2 linked regions of the Lytechinus pictus genome follow. The protein of the gene in region 1 purifies or fractionates together with the protein of each later gene. This does not show direct contact. Links are inferred from orthologs where the notes say so. Each region holds a gene or a part of one and is shown on either strand. Other genes may lie near its edges.

What was found.
Region 2: the proteins of ubiquitin conjugation factor E4 A-like (region 1) and UBX domain-containing protein 4-like purify together in Homo sapiens (affinity purification with mass spectrometry; 3 studies listed by BioGRID and IntAct, counting the BioPlex papers as one, with this or other methods). This does not show direct contact. The link is inferred for Lytechinus pictus from reciprocal best matches to the Homo sapiens genes UBE4A and UBXN4.

Annotation. Positions count from the first base shown.
Region 1 is NC_087252.1:12,360,539-12,370,153, forward strand, and holds the start of ubiquitin conjugation factor E4 A-like, read left to right. Parts: upstream 1-5,270; 5' UTR 5,271-5,364; intron 5,365-9,615.
Region 2 is NC_087247.1:7,110,994-7,120,853, reverse strand, and holds the start of UBX domain-containing protein 4-like, read right to left. Parts: upstream 4,647-9,860; 5' UTR 4,510-4,646; coding exon 4,428-4,509; intron 1,645-4,427; coding exon 1,539-1,644; intron 642-1,538; coding exon 613-641; intron 154-612; coding exon 32-153; intron 1-31. UniProt on the Homo sapiens protein: Involved in endoplasmic reticulum-associated protein degradation (ERAD). Acts as a platform to recruit both UBQLN1 and VCP to the ER during ERAD.

The sequences.
Region 1 (9,615 bases):
TGTAAATGGAAAAAAAAATAATGAAAGCTTGATGTCCGAGCTGAAATATGTTTTGAATATTGACTCAAAAACTTGATATTTTAAGCTCCATATCAGCTTATTGAGCAAGATGTGAATCTCATCGAACAGGCAATTCGAGCGCGAAGCGCGAGCGAAAATTTTATTTAGTAGCATGAAAGATTTTTTTTAGAAGTCTTCCCCCAACATTATTATATTCACTCGTCTTCCTCCTCTTATTTTCATCTTCTTCTCTTTCTGTCTTTCGCCTTCTTTTTCTTTTTTTCTTTTTCATCTTTCTCCTTTTTTTTTTGCTTCGCCAATTTTTTTCAGGGGGGCACCTGGGGGGCACGTGCCCCCCCCCCAGGCCCCCCATCCGTAGCTACGCCACTGGTGAGAGTGTATATTAAAGGGAAAGACAAAAAGGTTTGGAGAGGATGAATGGCAAATTGTAGGGAAAAGGATGCGGCTGTGGGGCGTTACGGTTAATCTGGGTGTTGGTGTATAAGAGAGGGAGAGAGCTCTGGGGTAAAAGACAAAATATCGGGAGAGGGGGAGGGGCGAGTTGGTGGCACATCATTTTGAGTGGCCAGAAGTCGGGAGATGTGCATGTTTGTGTAGGAGGGGGTTGTGTCACTAATTTATATAGTATGTGTAGGCCTATGTGGGAAAGACACAAGATTGGTAGAGGGGTAAATCGTGTGTGAGGAAGCCAATAGTGCGCCTAAAATTATGTTTGTTTGTTTGATTATTAACCATGCATAATGGAAAAAAAAATTGACAGAATATAATAGTGCGCGTAAAATTATGTTTGTTTGTTTGATTATTAACAATGCATAATGGAAAAAAAAACAAATTGACAGAATATAATAGTGCGCGTAAAATTATGTTTGTTTGTTTGATTATTAACCATGCATAATGGAAAAAAAACAAATTGACAGAATATAATATAATGTTTTATTCATGATAATAATACACAGTAGGAATCAAGCATATGCAAATTATGTTGGAAATGCAGAGTCCTTTGAATAACATCGTAGAGTTATAAGTAACATGGCTAGCTAGATGTGTGTGGTGGATGTGTCCACTGAGGCTGTGCGTGCGTGTGTGTGGGTGTGAGGGAGTGTGGGTGAGTGTGTGTGTGTGTGTGAGATAGAGGGGGTAGAGAACACACATAAAATAGAGAGGGGGCTGGAGGGAGATGAAAACAATTGATTCGGTGATGTGATTCAATCATCAGTTTTGAATGAAAGAAAATACAACCATTATGACCATTGTGGGGAGCTAAAAATTATTTTCAATTTGAAAGAAGAAAAAATAAATGATAAAAGTACCACTTGGAACAAAATTGACAATATATTAGTGCCGCTGAAATGTGATACCCGCACACAAAAAAAAAAAAAACTATTCCTATTATTATTGTCACTTATGATTAATCACAACTCCAGTAAATGCAATCAACTCTCTGGCTTTTTGTTCATAGTGATACATTAGAATATTGTGTCTAATTATATACTATTTTCCCAACTTACCTATATTCCATAAGGATGATATGACGACAATGGGGTATCGCATTATTCGACAAGGCGAGTTCACCAAAAGCATATCGAAAATTCTGAGTTCAAGAAGAAAAAAAAAATCGCTAGCCCACAATCAGAACATATCACCGACAGTGGTCACTTTCCTTTAACCTGCTCAATTTCTAGGTTGTGGTGCTGGTAGCGGTGACGACTACGATATAATGCCGACGACGATGATGGTGTGGTGATGATGACGATGGTGGCAGAGATGGATATATTTTGCCACAAGTGTAAATGCAAAAACGAAAGAACAGCGTATGATTAATCTCTTGCTGCAGTAAATAATAAGCCAGTGTGTCTGTTTAAGACCTCAAATCATTACTTATTGATTATGAAAGATTGATATAAAGTAAACTAACACACAACTACCCGTCTGTAAGCGATACCATACATGGTCTGTTGTGTTCATTGTGTACTTCCGGAAATGTAAACACTTGATATTTCCTTCTAAGTGCGAACCTCATCATTAAATGTATTCTTTATGTTCATCATATTATAAGCAGCTCTTATGGTATGAAAATGAAACATCAAATGGAGAACGAGAAAGTGACGTAGATATGTGTCCTGTATGTGAGTGGAATTCAAGTACTCTAGATGGATTTAACCTTTTACTAAAAACGAAATTAAAAATATGTTACTAAAATGATAGAATAAATTGGGCATTTAGAAAGAATTTAAAAATGAATTCCATACAAACAAAGTTATTGTTTGATTGTGATAAAAAAAGCTCCAAACTGATTTCAGTATATGAAGAGTTTTGTTGCAAAAGGGGGTAGGTCCACTTTGGACTATTTCGAGAAAAATCATGTTTTTTTATTCTCACTTATTGCAATATTCTTATGAAAAACTTAAAGGAGAATGAAACCCTTAAAACCAGCTGAATCTATATCAAAGAGAAAAATCATAGAAACATATTGTTGAAAGTTTGAGGAAGATTGAATGAATAATAAGAAAGTTATGAGCATTCGAATATTGAGATCACTAGTGCCATGTAGATCCTCCCAACGGCAATGCGACCAAGATCTGTGATATCACACACGTACAACTCCCTCATTACTTTAGTACTTATTTCACTTATATTCTCACTTTTATAGAGTCTATCACAAGGTGAGGTGTTCTCTTTATGAGATGACAAGTACAGAGGTTTCACAACATTATATCATTGATGAATCGTTTGTCATATGATTAGAATGAGCAAAAAGAGATGTTTTGGGGTATATTTTCAGTGTCCAAATGGGAGAGTTGTACGTGTGTGACATCACAGATCTTGGTCGCATTACCAATGGGAGGATCTCCATAGCATTAGTGATCTCGACATTCAAATGCTCATAACTCTTTTATTGCTAGTCCTATTTTACTCAAAGTTTTGTTGATCTTATTCTTTGATTTTTCTGCTTTCACAAAAGCTAACTTGCTCCAAGAGTTTCATTCTCCTTTAATAATGTTGTCATGGTGTACAATCTTATCATGTAAACATACATTTGGGTATAAAAGAAATCTACCTGTCTTCAATTTTTTTAATATATTAAAAAAAAATTATTAAAAAAAAAAATTATTTGTGGACTGACCTTTCGCAAGCAAACTGAAACGAATCCAATCTCTTTTGAATAAAAACAGTGATTTTACTTTGCCACTTTATTTATGGACCTAACCCCTTTTGACAAATAAGCGCTTCAGAAGAGTTTGGTTGCAAAGGGGGTTAGGTCCACTGCAAGAAAATCATTTTTTTTATTCTCCCATATTGCAATATTCTCGTGCGAAACTAAATTTTCATGATAACATACCATGTGAACATAAAGTTGGGTATAACAGAAATGGTCTAGCTGACTTCTCAATTTAGAAAAAAAGATGGCGGAATTTCAACACCTTTTTATATAATTCTGGTGTAGGCCCACTAGCGTACCTACGGGGGGGGGGGGGGCAGGGGGGGGGCACTCTGCCCCCCCTGACGAGTCACAACCCATGCAAAACGTATCTTTGCCCCCCCCCTGACGAGCTTGAGAAACCTTTTTTGCCCCCCCCTGACGAGCTTTAAGACCTTTAATGCCCCCCTGACGAGCTTGAAGACCTTTTTTTTTTTTTTTTTTTTTTTTTTTTTTTTTTGCTTGTCAATTTTTTTCTGGTACGAAATCCTTTATTTGTGATCGAAGACTTTTTTTTTTTTTTTTTTTTTTTTTTTTTGCTTGTCAAATTTTTTGGTGGACGGTTTTGCCCCCCCATGTGGAAAATCCTAGGTACGCCACTGTGTAGGCCTTTAATAACCACTGTACAAGCTAGGGAAAAAGGAGGGATCCATGAAAATACAAAGGTTTATGAGTGTGTAGAACCCTCGAATAGAAATCATAAATCGACTCAGTTGTCAGATCTGACTTATCATGATCAGGCGAAAAAGTAATTAGGAAACGGATCCTAAAGTCTAGCTTATATATGTTTATTTTGATTGATTGATTGATTGATTAATTGATTGGTTGAATGATTCATTGATTGATTGAATTGCCGATTGATTGATGACGAATTCAGTTCACTTCAGCTTCAAATTTTCAACAAAATCATTAAAGTAAGGCGAAATATAAACAACTAACAAGTTAATGAACCGAAAAGGAATCAGCTTCGGGATTAGCTCCATCACAAATTCAAAATAGGCCTACTAAAAACCGGTACTCTACAGCTTACAAGCGGTTATACAAGCCTATAGGTGAGGATCTCATATCTGCATGGCAAGCTATATAATTTATATTCAAATTTTGAGAAAAAGATAAGCATTTATAACAGGGGCCGCGGAAGCGGGAGGCTTGGTGGTGGCTTCAGCCCCCCACTTTTTTTTCCAAAACCGTGTATAAAAAAACGTAAAAATGACCATATATATGATTTTGATTTTTTTGCATGGTCAGCCCCCCACTTTTGACTCAGCCCCCCCTCCCCCCCAACCACCTTGAAAACCGTTCCGCCGCCCCTAGCTGTATAGCACAGTTAGTTTTATTCACTCTCTCTACTACATATATATTTATACATTAAAGGAGAATGAAACCCTTGAAACCAGCTGAATCCATATCAAAAAGAAAAATCAAAGAAACATATTGTTGAAAGTTTGAGGAAGATTGAATGAATAATAAGAAAGTTATGAGCATTTGAATATTGAGATCACTAATGCCATGTAGATCCTCCCATTGGCAATGCGACCAAGATCTGTGATGTCACACACGTACAACTCCCTCATTACTTTAGTACTTATTTCACTTATATTCTCACTTTTATAGAGTCTATCACAAGGTGAGGTGTTCTTTTTATGAGAGGACAAGTACAGAGGTTTCACAACATTATATCATTGATGAATCGTTTGTCATATAATTAGAATGAGCAAAAAGAGATGTTTTGGGGTATATTTTCAGTGTCCAAAAGGGGAGAGTTGTTCATCTGTGACATCATAGATCTTGGTCGCATTGCCAATGTTAGGATCTCCATAGCATTAGTGATCTTGACATTCAAACGCTCATAACTCTTTTATTGCTAGTCCCATTTTACTCAAACTTTTGTTGATCTTATTCTTTGATTTTTCTGCTTTCACAAAAGCTAACTTGCTCCCAGAGTTTCATTCTCCTTTAAGCCTACTAAAGAACCCCCCCCCCCGAGAAATTGACACCCAATCAAGTGATCCAGTGAGAGATCCACCCCCCCCCCCCTCGAATTCCACTTAACCCGGAAGCGCTATTAAACCGACGTGGAATCCCAAGCCGGATTTTCTCATCGCTGACATAGGCATAGCTAGATCTAGGACTATATAATATTGGTAAAGTAATGTTTTTTAATCATATATTCTGAGTGTGTGTGTGTGAGTGAACAGCAAAACAAATGAAGTAAAATCTAGACGACTTTTTAATGCAATTTTTTACTCCGACTCGGTCCTCGGAGTCCGAGTGCAAAGCTAAGCGGTGATCGACGATTTCGCATGCTATATTTCGCGATCGCCTCTTGTCCCCGCCGCTCCGGCTCGCACGGCTGACTCGGTGTCGCCTCTAGTCTGTTCGGGCCTACTGGTAGTGAGAGAGTGAGACTTAGACTTGGAGTTCCATACATACATATAGGCCAATGATATAAATTAACGTTAGACTCAAGACTCTAAGTCTAACGTAAGCATGATTTTAGGGGTCAAAATATACTCCCCCCCCCAAAAAAAAATGGCCTTATCGTGAATGTAGTCTCTAAATAGACTAATGAGTAATGTCGGTGTGTGCGTACGCGTTGTGTAACGTGAATCATGGGAGTTGAAAGAAGTATACCGAGGGTTCGTATACTAATATAATAATACTAACCTCGCAATACGTGTGATTGACCGAGGGCGAGGAGATCATTTGGGTGTGGAAATGACCCACAACAACAACGAACGAAGTCACCAGCGCTGACGAAATAAACGGCAGTGAATGGATTGGTGACTCGAACCAGGATAAATGCCAAAAATATGAAAGTGAAACAGCATTTCTAGCTTAGCCTAAGCCTAGGGCTAGGCGCACGAACAGAGTCTAACATAGTCATAGACAGCTGGCAGCCGTCTGTTTCGAGGAGTTTTTTTACATTTCTTATTTTTACTTCTCGTACACAGACGGCTCGCGATCGTGCAGCTCCCATAAGGGGATTAACAATGCAAAATCCCCCCGACGGGGCTCATCATTTTTTTTTCTTTATTCCATAAAAATATATAAAAAGAACTGGACATGGACCAAAATAAAGATTATTAGATCTAGGCCTTTAGGGTCTAGGTCTAGGACCCTATTCCGTTTTGACCTGAAATGCACAAAAAGAGGAAAATATAAACTTAAAAGGAAAAACAACAGTGACTTATGCACCTAATGACCTATCAATTGTAAGACGCACCCCTCGACCCCCGGGAATGGTGTGTCATGGTAGGGTCATTTACCAACAGATTAGCGACGCAGGGTACCGTCATGGCACATACATTCGTAATTCCGAAGCTTCATTATTCCGAAGGTTCCGATATTCCGAAGGTTCATTAGTCCGAAAATGAAATGAGGTTCGTAATTCTGAAGGTTCGTTTGTCTGAAAACGAAGTGAGGTTTGTAATTCCGAAGGTTCGTTAATCTGAAAACGAAATGAGGTTCGTAATTCCGAAGGTTCGTTAGTCCGAAAATGAAATGATTAATGAACCTTATTTCGTGTTTGGACTAACGAACCTTCGGAACAACGAACCTTATTTCGTTCTCGGATTTACGAACCTTCGGAACAGCGTACCTTATTTCGTTTTCGGATTAACGAACCTTCGGAATAACGCCACAAATGTTCGGATAAACAAACCCTTTTACGTTTTCAGATTAACGAACATCGAGGTATAGGCAATTTACGTGTTTCGGAATTACGAACCTTCAGAATAAAGAACCTTCGGAATTACGAAGTGTAACCCCGTCATTGAAACATTTGGTCTATCACAGTTTGAGGATTGGGGTGCGTCAATGTCAGTCATTTTACCTGGGTGCGTCATGATGCCTCAGTGATACAAACGGGTATTAAAATGTTGTATAAAATCGGATCAAAATGAAATTGGATCGGCAGTTAAAGGAGAATGAAACTCTTGGAGCAAGTTAGCTTTTGTGAAAGCAAAAATATCAAAGAATAAGATCAACAAAAGTTTGAGTAACATAGGACTAGCAATAGAAGAGCTATGAGCATTTGAATGTCGAGATCACTAATGCTAAGGAGATCCTCCCATTGGCAATGCGACCAAGATCTATGATGTCACAGATGAACAACTCTCCCCTTTTGAACACTGAAAATATACCCCAAAACATCTCTTTTTGCTCATTCTAATCACATGACAAACGATTCATCAATGATATAATGTTGTGAAACCTCTGTACTTGTCCTCTCATAAAGAGAACACCTCGCCTTGTGATAGACTCTATAAAAGTGAGAATATAAGTGAAATAAGTATTAAAGTAATGAGCGAGTTGTACGTGTGTGACATCACAGATCTTGGTCGCATTGCCAATGGGAGGATCTACATGGCATTAGTGATCTCAATATTCAAATGCTCATAACTTTCTTATCATTCATTCAATCTTCCTCAAACTTTCAACAATATGTTTCTTTGATTTTTCTCTTTGATACGGATTCAGCTGGTTTCAAGGGTTTCATTCTCCTTTAAGCTTCTAAAATCCAAATGGAATCGCCGATATTTGAATACAAAGCTATCTATCAAAATTTTGTTGTCTTTCGCACGCATCTTCCTGACAACACAAAGTCGCAAAGAATAAAATGCAATAGAAGTCGCCAACATGCGCGATCGTTCGGAACATGTTTTAAAATCGTTTTGAGGGGCTAACGAGTTAAAATATATTTCATATACCTTTTGTTATGAACTCTCATTCTCCCAGAAGAAATATTAAAGACGCATTTTCTCGACAACGTTGGAAACGTAAATAAAACATAATAGAAGTTGGCAACATCTCATATTAGCGTGCGACCTTTCAAGACATATTTTAAAATTGTTTTTAGGCGCTAACGAGGGAATATATATTTTATATACCTTTCGTTATGAACTCCTGGGGGCGTTTCATGAAAGGACTTGTCGGACGTTTTATCCGACAAGTCCCATTTTATCCAACAGTTACCATAGTAACAGTTCCTCTCAGCCAATCAACATCAGAAAAAGATGTCAGATCTGACAACCTGTCAGATGAAATTGTTGATGAAACACTCCCCAGTTCTCCCAAAAGAAATATAATTGATGCAGTATTTCAACACCTCGGAAAGGAAAATAGAAGTCACAAACATCTAAGATTAAATGATTGGGACACCATTTTTGCTGAGGTGCTAATTAGTTAAAATATATTTTATGTACTTTTCCGTATGAATCCTTGTTTTCTGAGAAGAAATATAAATGACGCATATTTCGACATTATCAGAAAGGAAAACAAATGAATCGGCTGCCGATCCGATGATCAGTTACAGGGTTACCTTTTATAAGAGTTCAAGGCGGCCTCCGCTATCACCACGAAACATCGTCAGATAATAGCGCTATACACGTATTGCATTCCATTGCATTCATATTATAGCTCTATTATGCGCCACGCAGCACTTACACACACAAGACATCATACTTCACATGCTTCAGAGCTAGAGTCTATTCCGAATCTTACGTTTTACTCTGACGAAGTTGCGTCAGGGAGACGGTCATGGTTGGTCAAAATCTTGAACTGGTGCGTCACTTTTTTTCTTTCTTGGCAGGGTCATTGTAAGTAAAGGTGCGTCATTGTTAAGACACACATGTGCGTCATGGTACCACAAAATCTGACTCACGTTTGACAAGTGACCCACCATTCCCGGGGGTCGAGGGGTGCGTCATACAATTGATAGGTGCATTACATCGGCTGTCGCGCAACTCCCACTTCCCTGGTTTATTGGAACTATTAACATATGGCCATTGAGTCCCTGTACAGATCGAGTTAGAACTTTGGTTTCTGTAATTGGTGAGTGGAGCCAACAAAGTTCTGCGGATCAACCACTATAACAGAGACCGAAGCTTTTGGTCTAAGTCTAACATAGACACTAAGACAGGACTAGCCATCTTTTCTGGGGATTTATTTAAAGGACAAGACCACCCCAACAAAAAGTTGATTTGAATAAAAAGAGAAAAATCCAACAAGCAAAACACTGAAAACTTCATCAAAATGGTAAGTAAAATGAGAAAGTTATGACATTTTAAACAGTTAAAGTTTTGTTTATTTTCACAAAACAGTTCTTGTCGGTATACAAATGAGGAGACCGATGACGTCATCCACTCACTATTTCTTTTGTATTCTATTACATGAAATATGAAATATTCTAATTTTTTCATTGTCAAGTGAAACTATGATTGATTCTTCCATGAACATGTTAAACTAGCATTGCTTAAAACTATATGATTCAGTCAAGTTGGTCCCTATTGTCAAATCTATAGAAAATGAAATATGGTATAATTCAAACAATAACAAACAAAAGAAATGGTGAGTGACGGTCATCATTGACTGTCTCATTTGCATGTCACTGA
Region 2 (9,860 bases), on another chromosome or scaffold:
AGGCAACATCAATATTGTATATAATTCTTACCTCGTAGACTTTCTTCATTTTCTGCACCAAGTCTGGAGCTGAAGCAAATCCTGCAATACTCTCAATCAAGACTCCAGTCTCACCGGAAATAAGATACACGCAAGGAACGCAAATAACAGGGTCTAAATGAATGCTAGTTAAGGATTGTCATCTTCAAACTGGCAATATATAGGGCTTACGATCACAAGAATGTCATCTGGTGACTCAAAGTTCTATACACTGGGGAGGTTTGGGGCAGAAGCATTAGCCTCCAGAAAAACTGAAGGGTTTCCATCAGTAATAATAATAATGTCATGTTTATCCAGGGTAGCCACTTCAGTTCTGAAAACTGTTCTACCAGCGGGCCCTGCTTAACATGATAATGTTATTATTACCCCACCTTTAACATGGCGCTCGAGCATTCAGGAAATTATATTCAAGAAAACAACTCCAAATTTGTAAACTGGAATGAATGTGATACAAACATCCTGATGACTGATAATATAAATTATTCATTGACTTCCATCATTACAATGTGTAGATTTATTGCAAATTTTTACAGAAGGTCAACATAAAATTATAGATGATAAATCAAAGGATACAATATACAGAAAACTGCTTGCACTCTTCACTGCAAAGAAAAAGAGAGAGAGATGAATGTTCAACGTCAAATAGAAACATTATTTCATCACAACCATGCCTGACAACAATTACAGGAGGAAAAAAATGAGAAAGAAAAGTTTAAAACTAAAAAGTATTGAAATCCATTTGCATCATTTTGGAGACCTGTTTGAATTTTGCAAGGATCATAGTCATTGGTTTTGTAACATTTATGAGAGACAGGAGCTTCTAACCAGACTAAGTTGCATATTACAAGGAAGCAACACTACAGCCAGATGTTAGTGCTTGCAAGCGATGTCTGGATACCCCTTTCTGAGACTGACCTTTAAAAAGATTTTTGTCAATAGGGCTATCTATAGTTTAACCATAGAATTAGACCCTTATTTGAGTTAACACCAGAGTTTACAATACAGGCATAATACTGGACAGGGACAAAATCCCTCGACCCTGTTACAAGTGAACAATCAATTTCACATCCTATAGATACATGTAGTGTGAAATGCAGAAACTGGAAAAAACAAATTGAGTCCAGTTGACATATTTTTACCCAGTACATCACCTAATCTACCTTGATGGTTGAGAACATTCTTAGACATAACTAAATTGTTGCTAGAGTACTTTTAATGGTATCCTGATCAGTTATGTGTTTGGATCTAGCCTGCTTTCCTTCCATGAAGTCTTTGTCTGCAAGTCTTACATATATACATTGACACACTACATGTAAGATCTTCATGAATCATTTGCCTCAGTTTTCTAATTCTCATGAAAATCTGTAATGATCTCAAATGACTAATGACTTGGACAATTCACAAAGTGAAAAGAGAATGAAGAAAAATGGGCATCGGATGGACAAAAAGGTTGGTTATTTCACGGAATTGCCCCTTTTAAAATGTAAATTGATTCCTACCTATCTGCTTGGAATCGCATGACAACGATCCCTGATTCTTGGCAAGTTTTGTTGACTGCATCCTCCTCCCATGTAGCATCCATCTTCTGGGAATCCTCATTTGACCCTGGTAAATTAAAATGACAAAAGTTTGGTACAAATATGAAAACCATGTTAAATACAGAAAGACAACATGTACTGTTGGTGAAGTGATGCATCAAACTATCATCACCAAGGTTGCTTTCTAGGATGGTGAGAAAACTTCACCCATGTCAGAAACAATTGTGCCATCAGGCCAGTATCACCAACCAGACAATTGAAACATTGCCCTTACTCAGCAAATGATGTGTCCTACATGTACTCTGCCGATGAACGTTACCAATACTTGGTATTAAAAGGAAGTTTCTAATATATTTGTACTTGGTATCATTCCATTTTTAAAGTGGGGTGATATTAGTGTTATCAAATTGAAGAGGGTTGGCATCTTAACATAGCTCTGTTAATGCACAGAGGCTTCAAGACTGCAGCTGAGTCAATGAACTTATGCGCTGGATCAATGCGAGTCTGCCCATGCTCAACATGGTTGTATACTAATTATATTGGATATTTCAAATCAGCAAAATACAATTTACTACTCATTACTTCGCACTTCCAGAAGTGCGAAGCGTACTTAGCACTTCCAGAAGTGCGTTATTCGTGAAGATCTTACTAAAATGAAGAAATTTCAGGAGGAAAATATTTCACATATTTTGAAGGATTTATAGATTCTTTCATCCCATATAAAGATTTGGAGCAGGGTAAGAATTAAGTTTGCTTTAGCAAAATTTAGAATGTTAAAAACCAACGATTAACAAAAACGTATGAAGGTTCAAGAACAGAGTAAATTTACTGTGGACTGCCCGTCAAATGAGTCTTAAGGGGGGGGGGGGGCCCACTTACATTGACGAGTGGATACCATGTGCAACCCCCAAAAACTTGTAAAAAGGATGTCTTTTTCAAGATACTGTAGGGCACGTTGTCGTTACGTACATAACGTAATAAGGGTGTCAAAACGCTAAAATAATGAAAAAAAAGGTTGCTTGGAAAGCTACGTGTTTAGGGTCAAATTCGCGAGGGTATAAAAAAGACTAAAATGTTTTATTTTTGCCCCGTCAACACTACGTGTTTAGAGTCTGATTTACGCGAGGTGTGGGAGGTTGGGCCGTATACCCAATGTAGGTAAAGGTAAAACCAACGACAGACGTCCGTGACATAACTAAAATATCGCTGTACTTGTTTAGAGGTTTTATTCAGGGAATACTTGCCAAGGGTATCGTTTTGTTTCCATTACTTGTTAAGGGTAGTGTTTCAGTCACACGCCAATACTTGTTAAGGGGTGCATTTTCAGAATATGGAAAATACTTGTTTAGGGTACTTTACGAGACCCCATGGTCGCGCATGGTATCCACCCGTCAATGGAAGTGCCCCCCCCCCCTCCCCGGAGTCTTAAAGAACAACTAAGAAATCTTTGTCAAAAATTGGTGAATCAGAACATCAGAAGTTTCGTCCTACCGGTAACTTTCGATGCTGATAACAAAATTGCAAATACATTGTTTGTCCAGATACAACGACTATATCTAGATCATTTACAATTTGCTGTTTTGATTCATGAATTTTTAACAAAAACATATTTGTTGACTTTGTTCTTTGTCTTGACGGGCAATAGACAACCCATTTACTCTGGTCTTGAAGATCATGTATGAGGCTATGTTGCTGATGTTTGCCTACTAAGTACTAACAAACCCGCATGCACCTTTGTCATTGACATGGCGCTAATGAAATTTCGTGCCGGCCAAATTTCCCCTCTAGTACATTTTGTAATGGTTCGCAAATGTCACAGCAAGTCTCTCAATCAATTCAAGGTCAATATACGTATCGCTTTTCAGAATATTGCGATCGGTTGGATCTCAAGGTCATTGTTGAATTCTAATTCAGACATTGCTTTGCTTGGCAATGCTTGGTTTTCCCTTAATTTTGATATGGAATGAAATTAGCAACCAAATGATTAGACAGGAATAACCGTCGTTTCTGGGGATTTATTCAACAATTTCTGACATTTTACTATAATCCCCATACTATGTATTGGTGAGTGAGCCAACGCAGTTCAGCGGAACAACCAAAATACAGAGACTGAAGCTTTTGGTCTACCAAATGATCTGCCTGTGGCAGCTGTTTGTTCACGTTCATATTTTGGTCGCTAACTTAAGCGAAATATCAAAATAATGGTGAATCAAACTCTAAGCAACGTGATGTCTGAGATTACATCGAGATCGATCAATCAAAGCTGATCATTCCTGATCGCGATAGGCCTAGATCTATTCGGAAAAGCGAACAATACTGGTGGGGAAATTCTCTCAAAAGTCAAAGTCAGCCATGGCAAAACTGCATTACCGGCAATTTATCGCCATTGACATTAGATCCACTTGTTAACGTTAGACCCCTATTTTATTTTTCTACAATCAAACAATCTTTTGTCTTTGAAGTTTGACTTTGGTGAGTTTCAAATTTACCAAAAAAAGGGCAATGCAGATTGCAGTTTTGCTCAATTGACTTGACTCTTGAGATACAATTTCACAATTTTCATTTCGATTTTTCATATTATCTACACATCTTGTAAAATAATGAGAATGAAATCATACAGGGAACAATTTGGAATGTCCACAATTTCATGATTTTGTATGTCTATAGATCTAAGACTAAATTGAAGGAAGTCACAGCACGAGGAGCTCTGCCATGCACATCCACGATCCACATCACAGCGGAATGCCGCCGCGCCCTGGAGCTGGCGACACCGGGTAGCTCCGGTAGCTCACGGGTTGCAACCCCCGCATGCAGGGATGACATTGCGAAAACAATACTGCGCGAGTTTACCTCGAATGTATACCATAAATACACTTTTCTGCTGCCTGGCCTGGGCAATAGCACTAGAAATCTGTCCTTCAAACCACTTCATTGTAGTTTCCACTCCTATTTGTGCTTGAGAAAAGTTAGAATAACGTTCAATACCGGTACTTGAAATAAGAAATAACCTCGGAAATTTTCTCAAAAAATATCGACTGTCGACACGTAAATGTTAGGCTCATTTCAGCCGTTTATATTAATTTTCTGATTCGACCACAGCTGGCTAGAGTGCACCACTCCCCTTATACCCCTTCTTTCAGATTCTCATATCTCACACATTGATTTCTGTTTTGTAAGTCACGATTGCGGGGTATATGATCTAACTGGTGTGATGAATCGGAGGCTGAAGTTGACGATGTTGTGATATATTAGCCGGGAAATTGATGAGATCAGTTTTGGTCCCGGGTTTTGGTTTCTTGAGCAAATTTTATTAATTATTAACTTGAAATTCAATGCATGAGTGAACATAATATATTGCAATTTAGTGCAGCATTTTAACTGTTTCATGTCATCAGCTTTCAATAGGGGGTAAAATAAGGACTTCGGTCATTTAAGTAGGTTGATGGCATGAGTGAACCATGCACTGGCCTCCATGGCCTCTATACCAGGGGCGTCGATCCATTTTTCAGATTGCATGGGGGGGCAAAATCATGAATCAAATTTCCAAAGGCGCTCGATCACACAAAACAAACTCACACACACACACACACATATGCCTATATATATATATATATATATATATATGACTCATGAGATATCTCATCAACAAATTAATGCGAGCGCGAAGCGCGAGCTGAAATTTTTTAGTATACTGACCTGATAACAGGAAAAAGGTGCCTGTTTAGGACTCTTTGTAGTAGTAACTCCTGAGGAGAATACATATCTTAATACACAAATAATGCGAGTGCCGAGAGCGAGCTGAAATTTCTTTATATTCTGACCTGAAAGCTTGATATTCTAAGCATTTTTGGTACCAATGATTAAGATGGGTATCTAAAAAAAAAGCAAAAGATGCGAGCGCGAGCTGAAAATTTTGATATTTCGATCTGAAAAAAAAATTGAGTTTAGTGGACGTTTTTAATACAGAACAAGATATATATTCAACAAAAGATTATTGCATATCGAAGCGTTAGTTCTTTTGAGGTTTAGACCTGAAAGCGGGACATTCTATTTACCTATTTAATCATTGAAAAGTATGAGTTTTTGCTACAGAAATGATGCGAGCGCGAAGCGCGAGCTGAAAATTTTTATATTCCACTCTGAAAAGCTGACATTTTGAGCACGATTTTAAATAAAGAACGAGTTGTGTATCTCAATCTCGCTTGCTGATTTCTGTGTAATATTACAATCTTATTTTATTTTTTGCACATGCAGAATTATTGGGGGGGGGGGCAAAACGATATGTTTGCCCCCCAATATTTTCATTGGTGGGGCGATCGCCCCCCCTGCCCCCCCCCCCCCCCCATGATCGACGCCTCTGCTCTATACTCGTGGACTGAACATGAAATTGATGAAAATGCATTTAAGTGTCGGATTTTAACTTTATCATGAGGATCTCAGCAGTGTGTTCGTGAGAACGGCGTACGTGACTGAGAGTCAGGAGAATGTGATATATGTCGACATATGTTGCATGCAACTGATGCAAGGGGCAAGATATTCGGGGGTAAGACTGGTTAAACGGACATTCTAAATCTTCGTGTTTAAACCCCCACCTCCACCTCCATGCACCCCCCCTCTCCTCTCCCTGTCTCAGTTCCTGGCTGGTGTTCAAATCTTTACTGCTCAAGTGACCGATGGTTGATGGGTCATTTTTTTATTTAAGAAGTTGATCTTATTAAAAATAATTTATTGAAAATGTTGAACGATGAGTGAATGTTTGATCAGATAAATTGTTGATTAAATGATTGATAGATTAGAGTTGATGCCCTAATTTTCAGAAATATAACAGCCCGTTCTGAATTTCATATGCGTTCATCAGTCTCCAGCAGGAAGAGAGAGAGAGGGGGGAGGGGGGGCTAAATGTTCTGTTGACTCTTATCACGGAAACCTAATTCACCCACTCCCATGAACACACTGCTGAGATCCACATGATAAAGTTGAAATAAACATAAACATAAACTTTGCAATTCATATTTATGAAATTTGCTCAACAAGCAAAACTGCTCACGAGTTAATTTTTCACAACACCCTCAACTTTGCAAGTTGAAAAGGACTCGAATTTCAAAGACTGAAATAAATTGGAAGGCTAATTTCTGTCCAGTTTTAACCCTTTATTTAAGTGGGCATGCAGTGCTCACTCAAGCATGAATAGTTTTCCAAATTTTTGGTGTCATTTGAAACTTGACTTTATTGGCTTTCTATTATATAGATCCCCCAGTGATTTTTTTATTTGGCAGCCATTTCAAAAGTGTATAATGTATAGACGCACTGTTATGCTATACTTTTTTTAAGCATCCTATTAATACTCCTGCTGTTTAAAGTGTTCCAAAATAACAAAGGAAGAAGAAGAAGAAGAAGGAGAAGAAGAAGAATTAAGAAGAAGAAGAAGAAGAAGAAGAAATGCATAAAAGAAGATCGAAGAACTAGAAGAAGAAGAAAAATATGATTATGATTGCACCTATTGTATAGATGACAATCAAACAAAGGTATTATTAGGATTACAACAACAACAACAACAGCTGCAAGAACAAACAAGAACAACAATAATGATGATGATGAATGATAATTATAATAATAGTTTTGCTTTAGTGATAATAATAATAATAATAATGATGATGATGATGATGATAATAGATTTTAGATTTTAGATTTAGATTTTATTTCCGTTCAACAATTTTTTCAAAATATAATCAAAGTAACAATACATATTCAATATAATCGATAATACAGACAAATCAATGAAATTTCGTAACAAATGTTGAATATAAATTAAACAAAACTACAATTTGTTGCAGTAATATTATCAATGAAAAGAAACAAGAAATGAACGGAGGGACTTGCCAAGAAAAGCAAAAGCTTGTAGAGAAGGCAAGCCCCTAAACTTAGTTTCAATACTAATTATAAACAAACTATATATACAACTCTATACAAAAATCGAGACGGACACAGAAGACAACTTAAAACAAGTAATCCACAAATATAAAAATAAAACGAATAAGCGACAACAAAAATAATAGAAAGTAATTCAAATAATAATAATTACAGTGGTAACACAAAAAAAAGTACTTACAAAATCATAATAGGGAGGGAAAAGTGGCAAAGGAAAGAAAGAGGGAGATAAGGGAGGTGCAAATAAAAAGTGCAAATGAAAAGAGGAACATGGCAGGTGCACAGGTCGTAATGTATTGTATCATGTTGTAGTGTTTTTTTTTTTTTTTTATAAGTAAAGTTTAACAAATTTATTGGCAGTTAAAGGTTAAGTTATTATGTAGTTTTAGTTTAGGTTATGTGTTAACTTGACTTGTTGGTGTGGAGTATTGACAAATGAGCATCTTTTTAAGTTTGCGTTTAAAAATATTAAGGTTTGTAGATTCTTTAAAGTCGTTGGGCAGGGAATTCCAATACACAGGTCCAAAAAAGATAAAAGAGTTTTTCGCTAATATAGTACGGGTAGGGGGTAGGTGATAACAATTACGTTGTCTCGTTGGGTAATCGTGTATAGAGGAGTTTTTACAGAACATATTTGAAAAAAATTGTTGGGAGATCATCTTTGTTTAGTTTATACATAAATTGGGCGAGTTGGAAAAGATATAAATCACTCACTTTAAGAATATTATTTTGGAAGAATAGTATATCTGTGTGTGATCTGAATTGGGTTTGAAAAATTATTCTAAGAGCCTTCTTCTGCAGCAACAGTATTCTTTGTAATTGTGTTTGGATCGCGCAACCCCATGCCAAAATGCCATAATTAATGTATGGTAATATTAATGTATGATACAGTGTAAGTAAAGTGTGAGATGGGAGAAAATATTTGAGTTTGTTGATAATTCCGATGTTTCTTGAAATTGTTTTGCATGTATTATTGATGTGTGGTTTCCATGATAGCTTATTATCAATAGTAACCCCCAAAAATCTTGTCTCTGAAACATTTTCAAAGAACAGTATTATCAAAAATTATGTAATAATATTATGTAATAATAATAATAACTAAAAATAATAATAATGATAATAAAAATAATGATAGTAATGATATTGAATAATAATAACAATGATAATAATGATAATAATAATAACAACAATAATGATGATATTATTAATAATAATAAAAATAACAATAATAATGTATATATATTCACATAAAACATATTATTTTTTTCATTACTATCGTGCAGTGGGGGATAGACAGGGTCCTCCCATCCATCGGGATACCATGTGGCATGCCCGAATGCTGCATGCCCATGCAGTCCGTGCCAGTAGCGTACCGTGACTCGGAGGAGACAAAGCATTGGGGGGGCAAAGCATTGTTCACAGACAATGCAGTGCCCCCCCCCCCCCAATGCTTTGTCTCCTGCGGTTCACGGTACGCTACTGCCCACTGGGCAATTTGTTACCGATTACCAATTTTACCGGTTATTACCGGTAATATCACCCGGAAATTTGAGTAACACCAAATATTACCGTTATTACCGAAATTATAATTCCTGTTGATACCTGTTACTGTTATCACCCTGATGAAACCTACATTTACCTAGTTACAACAGGGTGATGAGGGGTAATAAGGGTAATGTTGAATGACTTTGATTGGTTATAACATTGCAAACTTTAGTAATAAGAGCAATCTTACAGCAATCCCAGCGAAATTTTCAAAGTCCAAAAAATTACTGTTATCACCCTGATGAAACCAACATTTTACCCAGTTACAAACAGGTTGATAAGGGGTAATGGGTAATGTTGAAACGCTTCCATTCCCAGACAGCAAAGTATCTGGATCACATACGGTTCTTATCTGGGATATCTGGGTCCCATATGGGCCCACATGGAACCCAAATGAAAACATATACTTGAACCCACATGGTGCCCAGATAGGACTCAGATGGAAACGAGACCTCCTACCCATGCGGAACCCATTAATATTGGGTAAATGGAGTAATATCAGATGGTAATATCAGGAAAATGCTGGGAATATTAGTTACTCATGAATATTCATTACTACAATAAATGGCCAAAATTTTAGCTAATATAGCTGTAATAATTAATGTGTTTATGTTTATGCAATTATTCCACCCAGAAAATTTTCAGAAAAATGTGTAGTTTATATATCATATTAGTCATAATCATGACATTAATTTTAGAAAAATGTTTTAGGTTTGAATAATTGTTAACCATAATTTGTCAAGTGTTGTAAACTCGCTCAATATATAGAAGTAAATGACAGGGTTTGGTGGATAGGTGTAGGATAGGATT